Linked DNA regions of Tamandua tetradactyla. Each later gene encodes a partner of the first gene's protein in a complex. Links are inferred from orthologs where the notes say so. Each region holds a gene or a part of one and is shown on either strand. Other genes may lie near its edges.

Region 1 (8,190 bases):
ATTACTGCACGGTCTTGAAAATGGATGGTAATTCATATTTTAAAACTTAAACTTATGTGTGAGACTGTATCAAAAAATGTTTATTTAGTACAAAATTTTTATTTTGACTAGTGCATTTTCTAATATAACTTATGTGGATAGCTTAATTGAACACCACAGTACACAGAACCTTGAGTAAGGCATGAGATTTTGTTGGTTTGTCCAGAGTGATGCCCTGATAAATCCCAGAGTGATCTGAACAGTGAATAAAAAAGTATTTGCAAAGTCCCCTTGGGGGAATGGTGAGAAAAGGGGAAAATTCAACTTGCCCAAGTGGAGAATTCTTGATATTCTCACAAGCAGGGGGACAACCAAAGCAATAGGCTGAGCCCCCAGTCTTGGGGTTTGTTCATATGAAACTTATATGTGGGAGCCAGGGTTAATGGAAAACCTGCAGAATTTGTTGGGAGCAACTGGCTTCAGAGTGGCGTCGGCAGTAAACTGTGGAGACTGCTATCTGCTTAACTGGAGGACAGCCTGAGAGGGAGAGAATGTTTGTTTTTTCTTAAGCCCCAAGGTCTTGTTAGCTATCTCTTGTATGTAGAGAGTAATATACTGATAAGTAGGCACTCTGTTTTTTTCACGAAATGTATGCCTGCTTTTAGTCACCTAAACCCTGCAATATAGAAGCAGGAACTAATTAAAAATAAAGTTATCTGTTTTCTAAGCTTCAGACCCCCTGAACCCATCTGTTTCTTTCTTTCTTTCTCATCATTCCTTAATATCGTTCGAGCTCCATTTCATAGGAAGCAACACTTAACCCCGCAAAGGATAGGTCAAGCCTACTTAAAATTAGGCCTAAGAGTCATCCCCAAGAGAACCTCTTTTGTTACTCAGATGTGGCCTCTCTCTATCAGTACGGCAAGCAAACTCACCGCCTTCCCCCGCTCTAAATGGGACATGACTCCCAGGGGTGTAAACCTTCCTGGCAACATGGGACAGAAATCCTAGAATAAGCTGGGACTCAGCATCAAGGAGTTGAGAAAACCTTCTCGACCGAAAGAGGGAAGAGAGAAATGAGCAAAATGAAGTGTCAACAATGTCTGAGAGATTCCAAACAGAGTTGAGAGGTTATCCTGGAGGTTATTCTTACGTATTAAGTAGATATCACCTTGTTATTCAAGATGTAATGGTGAGGCTGGAGGGAACTGCATGAAAATGTAGAGCTGTGTTCCAGTAGTCATGTTTCTTGAAGATAACTGTATAATGATATAGCTTTTGCAGTGTGACTGCGTAACTGTGAAAACCTTGTGTCTGATGCTTCATTTATCTACCTTATCGACAGACGAGTAAAACATATGGATTAAAAATAAATAAATAATAGGGGGAACAAATGTTAAAATGAATTGAGTAGATTGAAATGCTAGTGATCAATGAAAGAGAGGGGTAAGGGGTATAGTATTTATGAATTTTCTTTCTGTTTTCTTTTTCTTTCTTTTTCTGAATTTATGCAAATGTTCTAAGAAATGATCATAGTGATGAATATACAACTATGTGATGATATGTGAGTTACTGATTATGTATGTAGAATGGAATGATCATATGGTAAGAATGTTCGTGTTTGTATGTTGGTATGTTTAATAGATAAAATTTTAAAAAAATAAAAAATATAATAAATAAACAAAAATTTTTTAAAAATTTTAAAAAGCTATATAGTTATACAATTATCTTCAAGAATCAAGGCTACTGGAACACAGCTCAACAGTTTCAGGTACCTCCCTCTAGTGTGGCTAATTCCTACTTGTCCTTTAAAACCCATTTAAACCAAAGGTAATTGATATCCTCTGATAGGAATCTGTCCTAAGGAAATTGCACATAGACAGAGATGTTTATTCAAGAAATAGTCAGGTCTACATATAATCATTTATGACAGCAAAAAGTTGGAATCATCCTAAATGTTAAAAAAATATGGGAAATGTAATCAGTTATATCTCACACTTGAGTTTTTTGTTTGGTTGGTTTGGCTTTTGGATTGCCTGCAAACGAGTCTTGACTAGATATCCATAAATCAGCGGTTATCACCTGACATGATGCTGTGATTCCTTAATAGGACGTTTTAACTGACAGGAAAGTGTATCTTTGCTACAATTGTGATTTCCCCTGTTAACTCAATGTCTGGGCAGACAAACATGGAGTGAGGCTTCTACTGGTGCAGGGTACAATGTGATATACATAGAGAGACAAAGAAACAATGCATTTCCCAGATCAGAGGGGTCAGGACAGCAAACGGCTCTGCCCAAGCAGTGACACGGTGCTGAAGTGTGATCGGTATAATACAGTAATGACTCAACATGCAACTCAAGTCTTTTGACTGTGCTGCCAAAAATACTAATACTCAAAAGAATGTGGCTGTATGCGTTAGGGTCATGCTGAACAAATAAATCCCCAAATCTCGAGATTTTCTCACTCCCAAAGCTAGCCCAATGGGAGCCTTCTGCTTGGCAGGCAGTTTCCTCCACGGGGTGACTCAGGGACCCAGGGTCCTTCTGACTGGTTCCTCTGGCCCAGAGCCTCAGAGTCCTGCAGACGTGGAGAAAGAAGGTGGGAAAGTCACCTCCGGACTGCCTTGGCCTGAAAGTGACACATGCTTCAAGTCCCATTCTGTGGGTGACCAGTCCAGGCCCCACCCAGGTGCAAGGGGTGCCAGGCGTGTAACCCCCCGCTGGGCAGCCACTTCCCGGCAGCAGTCTACCCTCCCGGCTGGGCAGCCACTTCCCGGCAGCAGTCTACCCTGGAAGAGGAGGCAGGCGTTCTGGGGACAGCCAGACCTCCTGGCCACAGCCGCAAAACTGCAAACCGTTGAGCACCACTGGATGACAGGAGCTTGTTACTATCAAACAGAGAAGTGGGAAAATATCCACTTAAGTAAAACAATCCCCCCTGCTGCCAGCATGGGTTTGAGTCCAACCCATGCACCCGAGGAAAAAAAGAAGCCATGTGATGATCTGTCTGGTGTATACATCACAATAAAACTGCATTTTTTTTGAAAGTCACATGAAGGAACTCATTCCAGCATCATACACAATAAAATATGCTCATGCTCACACATATACTCACAGTCTTGACAAATACTTAATGTAAAATGTGTTTAATGTTTTAACATTTAATGAACAGCAGTGAGAAAAATATATATATATTTAATGAAAATAGTAAGGATAAAGTGTTACATGACAAAAGTAGAATTTATAATTTTACATCAGTGTGATCACAAATCTGTAAATACATATGTACACATGCATAAAAAGACCGAAGGAAATATAAGAAAATGTTCACCTTTAGTTCATGAGTTTACACATAAATTTTTCTTTCTTAAACACTGATGCATTTTCTAAACCTACAGGAATGTAATCTTTTTACAATCAGATTTAAAAATCAGGGTGCACGGGTGGTTCAGGGGTAGAATGCTCACCTCCCATGTGGGTTTGATTCCCGGACCAGGCACCCCCACCCTCACCCCCCAAAAAAAGGATCAGAAGTTACTGTTATTTTTAAAACTTCTCTCCAAGGTTGCGTCCTCCCGGACCTTCCCCTGACCACTGCAGCGTGACCCGGCGCCGCTGCTCACTGCTCCTGGAGTGTCCCACCCATTCCTGCACCTCACTACCCACCTGCATTTTCCTTGCCTGCTGATCTCCTAACAATAACCGGGTCTCTGAGGAAAGCCACTGAGTCTTCTGATCTCTGAATCCCAAGGGCCTGACACACACTGCAAGCATCCCGAAACACTTAGGCACCACAGGAGGAAATTAAACGAGTAAGCAGGAGTAGGCAAGCTCAGCTCTGCAATCTTCCCTGGAACGGGGAACCGGGTTTTTTTTCCACTGGGGACGGCGACCTGGGGCCAGGAAGGCTGAGGAACTGTCCCCTGGAAGAGACGGCACAGGGGCCCAGGGGGGTCAGAGCTGAAACTTAAGTTGGGTTTTCCTGACAGCTGCTAGGATTAGTCACAGGGCCACGCTTGAAGGATTCCCCAGTCGGCTGATTCCTTCGGGATCACTCACTCCTCTCGGGACCTCCCCTAGGAACTAAGTAGGAAGGAAAACCCCAGACCTTGGGACTGCGCCCTCTTCAGCCAGCAGCTGCTAGGAGTTTGCATTCAACAAAGTTAAAATAAATGTCCACAGTTAAAATAAACGTCCACGGTTAGGGATCGCTAAGAAACACTTAGGTTTTCTCTGTATGCCTTCAAGCAAAAGAGCTCGGGGGGCCGAGCTGGCTAATGAACGAAAAAAAGATTTTAAAACTTAGATTTTAACGATATCAACCACATCTGAAGTTGAGCTACTGACATAATGCAGCCACGCGGACCCAGGGGGTGGAAACCCGTCGTTCAACAAAGGGGGAAACGCCCCTGGGCGGAGAGCCAAGCAGCCCCTCCTTCACCCCCCTCACCCCCCACTCCCTCCCTCACCCCCTCCCTCACCTCCCCACCCCCTCCCTTACCCCCTCACCCCCCTCACTTCCCCACCCCCTCCCTCACCCCTCACTCCCTCCCTCACCTCCCCACCCCTCCCTCACCCCCTCACCTCCCTCACCCTCTCCCTCACCTCCCTCACACTCTCCCTCACCTCCCCACCCCCTCCCTCACCCCCTCCCTCACCTCCCTCACCCCCTCCCTCACCCCCACCCCCTCCCTCATCCCCCTCCCTCCCACCGCCCCCAAGCCCCCCCCCACCTCCCGGCCCCGACGCGCCCAGGTCGGCTTCTAGCGCGGAAGTGAACGGAATCTGAGAGCCCTCTGCCCGCGCCCCTCCCGGCGCTGTCTTCTGGGAAACAGTCCCTAGGCCTGCGGGGCGCGGAGGAGCCGCCTCTGCGCCTGGCCGACGCGCCGCGCCCCGGCACCGCCGGACCCCGGGTTTCCGAAGCCGAGCCCGGGCGGGCGGGAGGTCCTGAGGGGCGCGGCGGGCGGCGCGGTGCACCTCGGGGGGCGGGGACGGGGTGGGCGGCGCAGGGAGGGGAGGGTGGGGAGGGCCCGGCCCGGCCAGGCCCCTCCCGCCCGCGCCCCTCCCGCCGCCCCGCGTACTAAGGCGCCCGCCCGCCGCGCGCCGCTCACTGGCTCCGCGTCCCCGCTCCCGAGGCCCCGCTCCCGCCGCCGCCGCCGCCGCCTCCGGCCAAGGTGAGCCCCGCCGGGCCCGCGCACCGCCCGCGGCCCGGACCGTCCCCACCCGGGGCAGCCCCCGGACCCCAGTGCCGGGAGCCCGCGACCCCAGGCCAGCGAGCCGAGCGCCCCGCGCCCCCCGCCACTCCGCGCCTTCCGCCGCCCCGCGAGCGCGCGGCCGGGGCCACCTGCCTTGCCTGCCCTCTGCCGCGGGACCTGGCCCGGGCCTCTGCCCTCCTCCCGCCCGGTCGTCAGCCGGTCTTTGCCGCTGCCTGCCTGCCCTTCGTCCACGCTGTCGGCTTTTCCAGACGCCGCGTCCCGCCGTCCTGGCCGCGGCATGGGGGGGCCCTCGCGGGCCCCGCCTCTGTCCAGAGGTGCCCACCCCGGGCTGGACGGTCCTGCGCCCTCGGGGGGAGGGGGTGGTAGCAGGGGCGGGGGGCCGGGCGGGGCCCTCCCCGGGATGCTCCTCAGACCTGCGCCAGGGCCCTCGGGTCGGGCTTCCTGTCTGCCTCGGAGACGGGGGCCCCACTGCGCAGCGAGCGCGCGCCGTCTGTTTTCTCCGCACAGCGAGGAGACAGGGGCCCTGCCTGACTTGGTTTCTCCACTGATGGACTTTTCCCCTTCTTACCATCTGAACTAAATCAGAGGACTGGGAGGGAGACGGGCGAGGGCGGGCTGGAGGGCAGCTCTCCCCAGCCCAGATGAACCTGGCCGAGTGCCGTGGGACAGAGGTCGGTGGGGCCAGGGTGCCCCCTCCACGCTGGAGGCTGGCCCGGGCAGCACCCTGCAGCCGGCCTCGCCGAACTGAAAGCAAGCAGAACCCCGAGGCCAGGCACGGCAGAGCCCTAGGCCAGCCTGGGTCACTCTAAGCCCACCGCCCTCCCCTCGCCCTCCCAGCCCCGCCCCCTCCCACGGGGCTGGGAGTCCTGCAGGGTGGGGTTACCACGGAGGGCTGGGGGTTCTCTAGCGGTGAAGGGGCTGGTGACTCAGCGGTGAGACCATGTGGGCGGGGCCCTGCTGCTGCCAGAGACTCTGCAGATGGACAGACACTCCCTGGAGGAAAAGGGAACTGTGCCATCTTAGAGGGCATTTTCCAGGAGGAAGTGAGTCACTCCAGGACTGACCCACGGTCTGAAGGAGAGCTATCTTCCTGAACTGTAAGGACAGTGATTAGATTGGCAGAGTCATGGCGAGACCATGCCACCCCATTATGGGTCCCTAAGGCCTGGCAGCCTGCCCCGGCTTTACTTGGGAGGTAGCTTTTCCCGTTAAGAGGTTTGCGGTGGCTGCAGATTTTTTTTTTCCCTCTGCAGCTTGAATTTCAACCTCCAGGAGTAGATTTTTATATCCTGCACTTAGAGGTGGGGTCAGACTCATGGAAACACCCTGCAGTGATCTTTGCTTCCAACTTGTTTCAGCAGATTGCAAAAGATAATGCCAGGGGGTGGGGCAGGAACCAGTGCATATAATTCATTTGGAATTTCATCATCAGCCCTGCCCCCACAGATTCCTATCTGGTTTCTATTTATTCATCCCTTTCTAAATGGTAAATACTCTCCTCAACAGCGCCAAGCTGGCTTCTTCCTTGAGGTCCTTGATCCACCATTTGGGGCTTCTTATTGCAGTTTTTCAAAATTTCTTGAGGCTCTCCTGTATAAAAAGCAGTTGTTTGGTATCAGGCTGATTTCTAGGTGATGCTTCTCCTGGCTTCTCCCGAGCATATGGCATTTGGGTCCTCTTTCTCCCCACGCCTGGCTTCTGGCCAGCCTCAAGCAGCCACCCCCGCGAGGTCAGGCCTGGAGCTGTGGAGTTGGGCCTGGGTGCGTCCCTGCTTTCCACAGACAGTTCCAAAAATGTGGCTTTTTTAGAACACTCCCCACTTGGTGTGCCTCTGGATACAGTCAAGTCTTTTAAAGTAAAACCAGAGGGAAACAATGGAATCCTTTCAGTGTTATAATGTGTAAATTAGCATTCAGAGTGCTGGGAAAGCTTGACAAAAATCGTAGGAGCATTCCTAAGAGTCTCCTTTTCCTGGCACTTAATTTAGGAATCTCCCATCAAAAGCAAAAACAATGAATTTAAATATTTTTAACAGCAGTTCTTAGCACTTCGGTCTCTTCGTTAAATAACTACATCTATTTACTGGTTCAGATTGATGCCTGATGAGAGCAAAATGGGTGTACTTCATTGGGACAGAGGAGGCGTCTAAGTTTTCTTCCTTTTGGATGTTTCTGGAACTTTCCTTTGCTGTCCACTTCCTTAAGGGACACGTTTTGTTGGTAAAAAGTTGAGAGACAACCTGGATCCTGACCTACTGCCTCAGTTCATTTCTTCTGAATTCCTTTTAAGGATCAAATTCAATGAAAACCTCTTTGGTTCAATTTTCAGAAAGCAAAAATTTTTAAATGCTTTTTTTTTTTTCAAAATTCCCAAAGCCAAAGGAAGGAAACCTCAAACACATTTTCAATAACAGATGTTTGCTATCACTGACACCCCGCCAGTTATTTTCTGGGTGGGCTGTAAGACAGCGAGACTAAGGGTGAGGCACAGAGGAGCAAAGTAAATCCGACCTCGTGCTCAGGAGAAGTGTTCTCTTTGAAATTACGGCCGGTTCTGGGCATAGGTCCAGAGCAAACATTTGAGATTGCTCAGGAGCAGACGCTCTGTGCTAAGCGGGCCCCTGCTCCCCTGTCACTCCCAGGATGGTTCAAACGTACATACGAGTATCAGTTTCATTCTTACCAGTTTATTGAGCATGAGGCAGAAGATGGGATAAACAGAAAGACGTGACAACAGCACAAGTGAGAAGAGGAAAAAGGCATGCCAGGGTCTGACCAGACCTGTTTAGCAGGACATGCATTTTTTCCTGTGTGCACTACTGTTTCATTCACAGGTGAGCCCTTTTGCGGCCCCTTTCCTGGCCCCTCCCAGCTCCGAGCCTTGAGCTCAGGTTTAAGGTTTGCAGCCCAGTCCTAAACAATCACACTCAGACCTCGGCTCCTGCCAAGGAAGTTGTCTGAGGCAGTCATTCCCTCATTTAACAAATGGCTATT
Region 2 (7,523 bases), on another chromosome or scaffold:
TCTCCAGTTTACTTATATTGGCATCAGAATTCTCACAGCAACATTTTAAAAATATCATGGAGAGAAAATATGGAATAAGGATTTTATATTCAGCCAAACTGCCCTTCAAGTACAAATGCCACAATTATGAACACACAAACTTCATGAAACAATGTTCCTTCCTAAGGAAGTTCCTAAAGGACATATTTCAGACAACCACAAAATGATCTGAACTTCAACATAAAGAAGATAAAGGGGAATGGAAGAAGAAACAGAGCAAGACGATGGAATTTCATCCCACGGAATTTCTGCAGGACATTCTCCAGGCAACAAAAAAATAATGTGAGAAGCTTCAACAGAAGGAAAATATGCAGGAAATGGAAAAACTGGCAAATCTAGAACATTCTATAGAAGTGATGTGGTTTCTGAACAAGTCAATGACATGTAAAAAGAGGTTGGGCTTCCAAGGCTTAATAACCACAGGTAATATATAAACCTTATTTGAATCCTGATTTGAAAAAAAACAAATATAAAAAGGCATTTTAAAAGAACACAGAAAATTTGATTATGTATTAATCAGATTTAACAAGGAATTATTATTTTGGTGAAAGAAAAAATGATATGCATAACAAAATGTCTGAATTTCTTATATGGATATAAAATGATGTTTGGAATCTGCTTTAAAGTACAAAAGGAAAAAGGAAAAAATGGTTAGATGAAGCAAATATTTAAAATCTTGTTAATTGCTGAATCTGGGTTATGGGTATATGGGAGTTTACTGTAATATTTTCTCTAATGCGTGTTTGAAATTTTTTATAAAAAGTAAATAAATGAAATTAGAGGTATATTATTATCTAGATAACACAGAGGCATACTAGACAACTGTGTCAAAGACTACAAACCAGAGAAAGTTATATATATTCTCTCTCTTCCCGTATAGCTCTTTCTCTCATACACACAATGCAGAGACTAGAAATAGAGAATGAGACATAGGAGGGAAAGAAAAGGTGGGAGTTAGAGAAATAGTCTTACTATAGAAAGGGACTAAAATTGGCAATTCCTTTACCTTGTAGGAGCTGATCAACCTAAATCAAAAATACGAAAGCGTAGAAATATGGCTGAGGGGCAGAAGTGGAGAAAACAATGGACTTGAAAGTCATTTCCCAAACTTCTATTTAGTATCTATGTGTTTTGGGCAAATATTTATCCTTTCTGAGCTTCAGTTCTTCAGTTATAAAAAGAGCTATCAGATGTACTCTCTACCTTAGAGTTATTGTAGGATCAAATGAGACAGTGCTGACCAAAGTATTTTGTTTATTTAGGTATGATATAAATGTAAGAGAATACTTTAAGTCAGAGAAGTTCAGGTATTTGTTATGTACTGTCTGAATATACTTCAATTACTTAAAGTAAAAATAGACAGTGACTACACATATCACCTTACAGATTTTCTAATTTTCAAGATTAATACCATAAACATATCAATCTAACTTAGTATCTACTGCTATACTCACTACTCCTGTGTAATAGCGTAGTCCAACCACATGACCTCTCAAAGTTCCAAATAAAACTGAATCTAGCTCTTCATCACTAGTTAGGAAGTCGTCTGGAGGGATAATATCTTGGAATTCAAAACGGGGGAAGAAAGTTGGATATGAAAGGCGTGAGAAGTTTCCATGGACTCCATACTGGACTGTCTGCAAGTACTTCCAAACAGGATCTCTATTAAAAAAAAGAAAGGGATGCAGAAAACAATACAATATTTAACCAAATATTTCTCAAAACTATACCAAAATTTATAGGCCAATAGTTTTCTCACAGTTTATTTTAGGAGACGAACTATATAAGAACACTGATTTACTCTGATTAACGCAAGAATTGAGGCGAGGGAGGTTTCCTAGAAACCGACTAGTCCAGTATTGTCTCCTCGACCCACCTGCCCAGCGCCCCTGGGTATCCAAAACGAAAAAATCTATAAGGTTTCACAAATCTCTTCCCCAGTGATTTAAATGTATTTAAAGTTAAATTAAGCTATTTAATCTGAAACGTATGCGATATCTTTAACTACAGTTTCGTGCCAAAATTTCACTGGGGTTTAAACTAGAAGAGACTTGACAGCATCACTACCATACATGAAGCAGTTTACATCTTCACGGATAAGACAGTCCATCTCTGGATTATTTTAGCAGACACCCATCCAGCATCCACTACTCCAATTTCCTCCGAATAAACCCTTATTTTATTCAGGTATCTGAACTACGCCAGGATGGGAATCTGATCTCCGTACCCCGCCGTCGGTTTAAAGGTAACTTCAAACTCCCTCTGCATAACTGTTTCAAGAATGGGCATGTACATCCATTCAGACAACGGTAAGCGAGGGGAAGTCTTTTAGGGGCTTTGAGGGAAAGTTTCCACCCTCCTCTGAACAGGCAGCCACTTCTTGGGACCTCTGCGTCTTCCTTGCTTATCGCGCACACCTCCTCTTTAGGCTCTGCTGCAGATATGTGTTTGCACGTCTGTGCGTGCACATCAGCTGTAAGCTCCTCTGGGGCACAAGGACAGCCGCACTCGGCCCTCTCCTTCCACTACAATGCCTAGCGCACGCTGAGCGTCTGATGGGTGTTTTATCGAATACAGGGCGCGCCAAGACCCTAAGGAGCGGAGTTCCGAGTCCCAGGCCTCCACACCCGATGACAGAGATTTCCCAAGGCCCTTGCACAAGAATTGCCTGAGGAGCCTCCCCTCGCCATCCGTGACTATGCCTTTATTTCTCCTGCGGCCACCGGAGCTACCAACAGAATGCATACAAGCCGCACAGACCGCACAGGGGACGCGGTGGCAGCGCGCGGAAGGTCAGGTTCACCTGGGGACGCCGCCCGCCGCTACCTCCCACGCCCCACCCCCGCCGCCCCTTTACCTCTTGAACATCCAGGACATGGCGCTGAACAGGGCGGCCAGGGGAGCACCTGGGCACCCTCAGATCGTTCTCGAGCCGGCGAGGTACGCCTCCTTCTCGGCCTGGCAGCCGGGAGGCGGCGGACAAGTTCAAAGCGCCAGAGGAAAAGCTCACGACTGGAGGGTAACACGCCGCGAGCCCAGTCAAACGTCGACGCCGTCTCCTTCTAGCAGCAATCTGAGCGACCAGAAACCTTTTGTGACTGGCATTGGGGTCGTCCAATTGAGAAGACGAGTTTACGGACACGAGCCAATCAGGACAGGGGAGGGAGGGCGACTCCACCCCGCGGTGCGATTCAAAGGCGGTGGGGGTCCGGGACGCAGGGGCGGCTCCATCCGGGTCCTTCCCCCGCCCCCAAGACGGCGCGCGGGAAAGGCGCGCGGGAAAGCCACGCGGGCCCGGGGGCTGAGCTGTGGTGCCCTCGGTGTGGGCTTTCTCTTTGATTCCCGGCCTCAAGCAATAGCAAATGAGACTCCCTTCTGCTTTATTCCTGAGTCCTAAGCCTCACCCTCATTCTTCAACCCTCTGTGGGCTGGACCCTCCAGGTGGTGGGCTAGGTCCGGGCCCGTGTCCCTCGCACCAGTGGAAGGAAACCCGGTTCGATAAAGCAAAGCAGCACTTTAGTTTTTAGCTGAAGAATAGAGAAGGGTGGGCTTGTATCCAAAAAAGACACCTTCTCACCAATGGGAGGTGTGAGATTCGTTTATGGGGGATGAGGGGCTGGCTTGGGTATGTGCAAGTGGTCCCATGAGCATCTTTGCTTTCTGCATCTGCAGTTAGCACTTTTGCACTTTTCAACTGCATGTGGTGTTCAGCCGTGGACGTCTGAGCTGTACTTGTGGTTTCCAGCCTCCTGCACTTCGTTTCTGAAAGCAGGCCTAGCTTGGGCAAAGATTGGGTGCTTGGTTTCTGAAAGCAAGCATAGTTCAAATAAAGGGAGGCTAGAAATTTTTATCAGCGCTAATTCAAGGGTCGCGCTTCATCCTGGTAATACTCAGACCTTACCTCATCCTGTCTCCGACTTTAATCCCGTCTGAAGTGATGTGTATTAGGGTCTATGACTAAATAAGTTTCAGGGTGTATGAGACCTGGAGTTAGCAGCAAGATGCCTTCCTTCATTTCCTGCGGGGTGGGGGTGGGGGGGGAATTATTCTCAAAATTAAATTTCACCTTAAGCCTACTAGCCAATCTTTGCAACACCCCGAGTTCAGCACATATTAATTTGAACCTAGATTTATAGAGTGCGCCTCCCACATCTTTCCCTTCTTTCTGAAGAAGATTTTTCCACTTCTTAGTAAAGGAACGACATAAGAGGTGCCAACAGCACTACTCATTTTGTTGGGAATTGCAGTTAATGGACGGAACCAGCTTCCCCTGAGGCATGCACCTGCCTAGTTTATCTTAAGGAACTGTAGGGAGCTGAGAGCTCCACCTCTGGCTTGGGAAAGTCTGAGGAGGATGCAGAGAACTGGGTGTTGGGTGGGTGGGCCAGAGGGCCTCAGCGAGGCTGTCCTTGCTAACCCCTTGCCATAGGAGCCCAATAGGGAAGGCTTTCAACGGGCGCAGCAGCTGCCCCAGAGCTGGGCTTTGAGCTACTTGTACTGCACAGGAGAGCTGTCCCACAATAACTGGTTCAAGGAGACATAGAATTGTAAATGTGATAAAAAAATTTTGACACCTGTCCTTCATAGAGTGGTTCATTTTACACTCCCATCAGCAGAGTATGAGAGACGTCAATAGAACAGTTTTTCAGTTTTTGTTTATTATCCTAAATAAAATTTGGTGGCCATAAACATGAATCAGCAGAATGAGAAGCAGAATTTGCAGCAATTTATTTCTTCAAATAAACAGAAGGAAGATGATTGGAAATTTGAAGACAGTGGCATTTCAAATTATTTTAACTATTTGGTTAGAAAAAATCTAACCATTTTTTCCTTTTTCCTTTTGTACTTTAAAGCAGATTCCAAACATCATTTTATATCCATATAAGAAATTCAGACATTTTGTTATGCATATCATTTTTTCTTTCACCAAAATAATAATTCCTTGTTAAATCTGATTAATACATAATCAAATTTTCTGTGTTCTTTTAAAATGCCTTTTTATTTGCCTTTAACTTCTTGTATTATTACAACGCTAATTTCAATGCAGTTCCAGTTTTTAGTGTGCCGATTCTAAACAAATTATTGGAATATATGCCAGAAAATCCCCACAATGATAATGTTTTGTATGGAAAGTTAATGAAGCCATCTTCATAGGTTGAAAGATAACATTCCAGATGTGTCAAATATGAGACTAAAGGCCATTCTGTCTTTCAAAATTCAAGACCTATGAATAATAACAGTTCCATGGTTAAAGGAGGTGGCTTCAAGTTAATATTTGCTGTTTAAATTCCCCACTTTTCCACACATTGTCACATTTTACATCCCAAATTCAACAGTGGAATGTGAACACTCTGTTTTTTCATTTCATTATTCTTTATTCTTTGTATGTGAAAAATTGCATTTAAGTGGAGTTTTCTCTAGTTTGATTAAAATGTAACAACAGTTAAAAATTCAAAAATATCACAGTAGATAATTTTTCCTGAAAAATGAACCGACTGTAAGTGAATGAAAGGGAACTTGTGTAGTTGAACTGATGAGTAGGAGGAAAGTGGCACAAAAAGAAGATGGTCAGGAAGGTAAGGCGGTCAGGTCACAATGGAACTTATGATCTATGGTAAGGTTTATATTTTATTTTAAATATGGTTGGAAGTCAATGAATGTTTAAGCAGTTCTATGGATATGAATTATAGAGAAGAAAAGAAGCAAAGAAAATAGTTGATAATTAGGAAACTACTGTATGCAGGTCAGAAATGATGGTGGCTTTGAATGGAGAGGTGGTATTGCTAAGAGAGCAAACAGGGTTTGCTGATAGTTTTGGTTATGGGTGATGAGGAAAGGGAGGGGCCAGAAAATTCCTCCAGCCTCCCAACTCCCAGTTACAAGTGCACTTTCTCATCTCCTCTTCATGCAAGTCAATCATGTTACCCCATTATTGTTTGATGTCACCTGCATAAAATCAAAGGATGGCATATGTGGGCTTCATTCTGTCTCTTAGCTCCTGCTCCAGCTTCTTAATCTCTTGTTGCTTACCATTCCACCATAGCTTTCAGTAACTTCTCTAAAAGAGATACAGATATTTTCATATTTGTATTGATTTCATATTCATAAGACCATTATCACATTCAACAAAATTAATAATGAATCAATCTTTGATGTCTTCTAATAACTAGTTCATAACTACAGTTTCACAATTGTCTCAAAATATCCTTTTACAGTTGCTTTGCAAAATAAAATTGTGAAGCCTTTGGCAACAAAAATAACTTTAAGAGAAGATGCTGGAGTTCCAAATGTCTGACTTTAATCCCAAAACTTCCAAGTTGATGTCATGACTAATAGATTCCAGAAGAATATATGATGATGTAAGAGCTTGTTTGTTTGCTTGCTTGCTTCACCTGAAAGGAGAAGAAGTTCAATGGATGAGGAAATTTTTCAGGAATGACAGGGAAGAGGGTTTGCAGAGTAAATCCTTAAGTGGGTTACTGGGAAAAGACCTTGAATGCCTCACCCAGGCCAGGCTCCACTAAGGGAGGGGTGATAGAAAGCCTAGGAAAGTTTCCAAAGATTCCGCAAGAAATGGAAACTGTGCGTCATTGCTCAGGATTCCCTTAGGAATTCTCTTAGGATTCTGCAGATCTTAGAGTCTCAGAGATCAGAAATGTCCCAGAGCAATAAAGAAGTAAAGTAAGTGAGGTAGCTCTGCTAAAGGGTGCAGAGGCATCCTTGTGGAACCCTGAAAGAGTCCCCAGTGAATCTCTTGCACTGTTCTGGGAAGCAAGAACTTCAGAAGCAAGAGGCTGATGCCCAAAGATAAGATGAGATGAGTCATATCAGCAATGGGTTCCTACAGAAGACGAATGCAGTCCAGACATAAATCTCCTGGAGAGAAGGAGGAAGGGGACTGAATTTGGACCTGAGTTTGATTGGATTTAAATCATAAATGAATTACCTGGGAGATAAGTTGCCTCCCATCAGGTAGATGGGAGGTTTAAGGCAAATTAAGTTCAATAGAAGTAAAGGCTTTTCTTTGCAGATAGTAATTGAAATTCATGCTTGCCATATATTACCCATACACACATAACTCAGTGGATTCATACCTAGATATTTAGAGCAGATATCTCTAGCTGATTGAATTTGGAGATTTTCATTTCCTTCTTTTTGTTTACATACATGTAAAATGTTCTCTACATGGAACATGCATTGCTTTTTTGCTATAAGAAAATAAAACAAACTGTAGCAAAAAATTATGAACCATTTTTTAACTTTTAATTTTTAACTAGCTTTGACTTACAGAAAAATTTCAAAAACAGTACAGTGTGTTCCATCATATCCTCTACCCCACTCATGTTAATACCATATATAACCATAGTATAAATAGCAAAGACAAGAAATTAACATTGGTACAATACTATTTTGGAACCATGTTTTTTAAATAACTGAAGATGACAAGGCAGAGGAAATGAGAGAGAAAAAAAAAAAACCTTTGT

What was found.
Region 2: the proteins of S100A10 (region 1) and HLTF are in contact, whole or in part, in a crystal structure (PDB 4HRE), measured with the Homo sapiens proteins. The link is inferred for Tamandua tetradactyla from reciprocal best matches to the Homo sapiens genes S100A10 and HLTF. Residues at the interface, in NP_002957.1 of Homo sapiens: Phe42, Asp58, Leu59, Asp60, Gln61, Gln70, Ser74, Leu75, Ala77, Gly78, Leu79, Ile81, Ala82, Tyr86; in NP_001305864.1 of Homo sapiens: Thr32, Phe33, Phe34, Pro35, Phe37, Phe39.

What each region holds. Positions count from the first base shown.
Region 1 is NC_135330.1:3,154,616-3,162,805, forward strand, and holds the start of S100A10 (protein S100-A10), read left to right. Parts: upstream 1-5,077; 5' UTR 5,078-5,155; intron 5,156-8,190. UniProt on the Homo sapiens protein: Because S100A10 induces the dimerization of ANXA2/p36, it may function as a regulator of protein phosphorylation in that the ANXA2 monomer is the preferred target (in vitro) of tyrosine-specific kinase.
Region 2 is NC_135331.1:42,025,983-42,033,505, forward strand, and holds the start of HLTF (helicase-like transcription factor), read right to left. Parts: upstream 3,132-7,523; 5' UTR 2,917-3,131; coding exon 2,897-2,916; intron 1,702-2,896; coding exon 1,494-1,701; intron 1-1,493. UniProt on the Homo sapiens protein: Has both helicase and E3 ubiquitin ligase activities. Possesses intrinsic ATP-dependent nucleosome-remodeling activity; This activity may be required for transcriptional activation or repression of specific target promoters.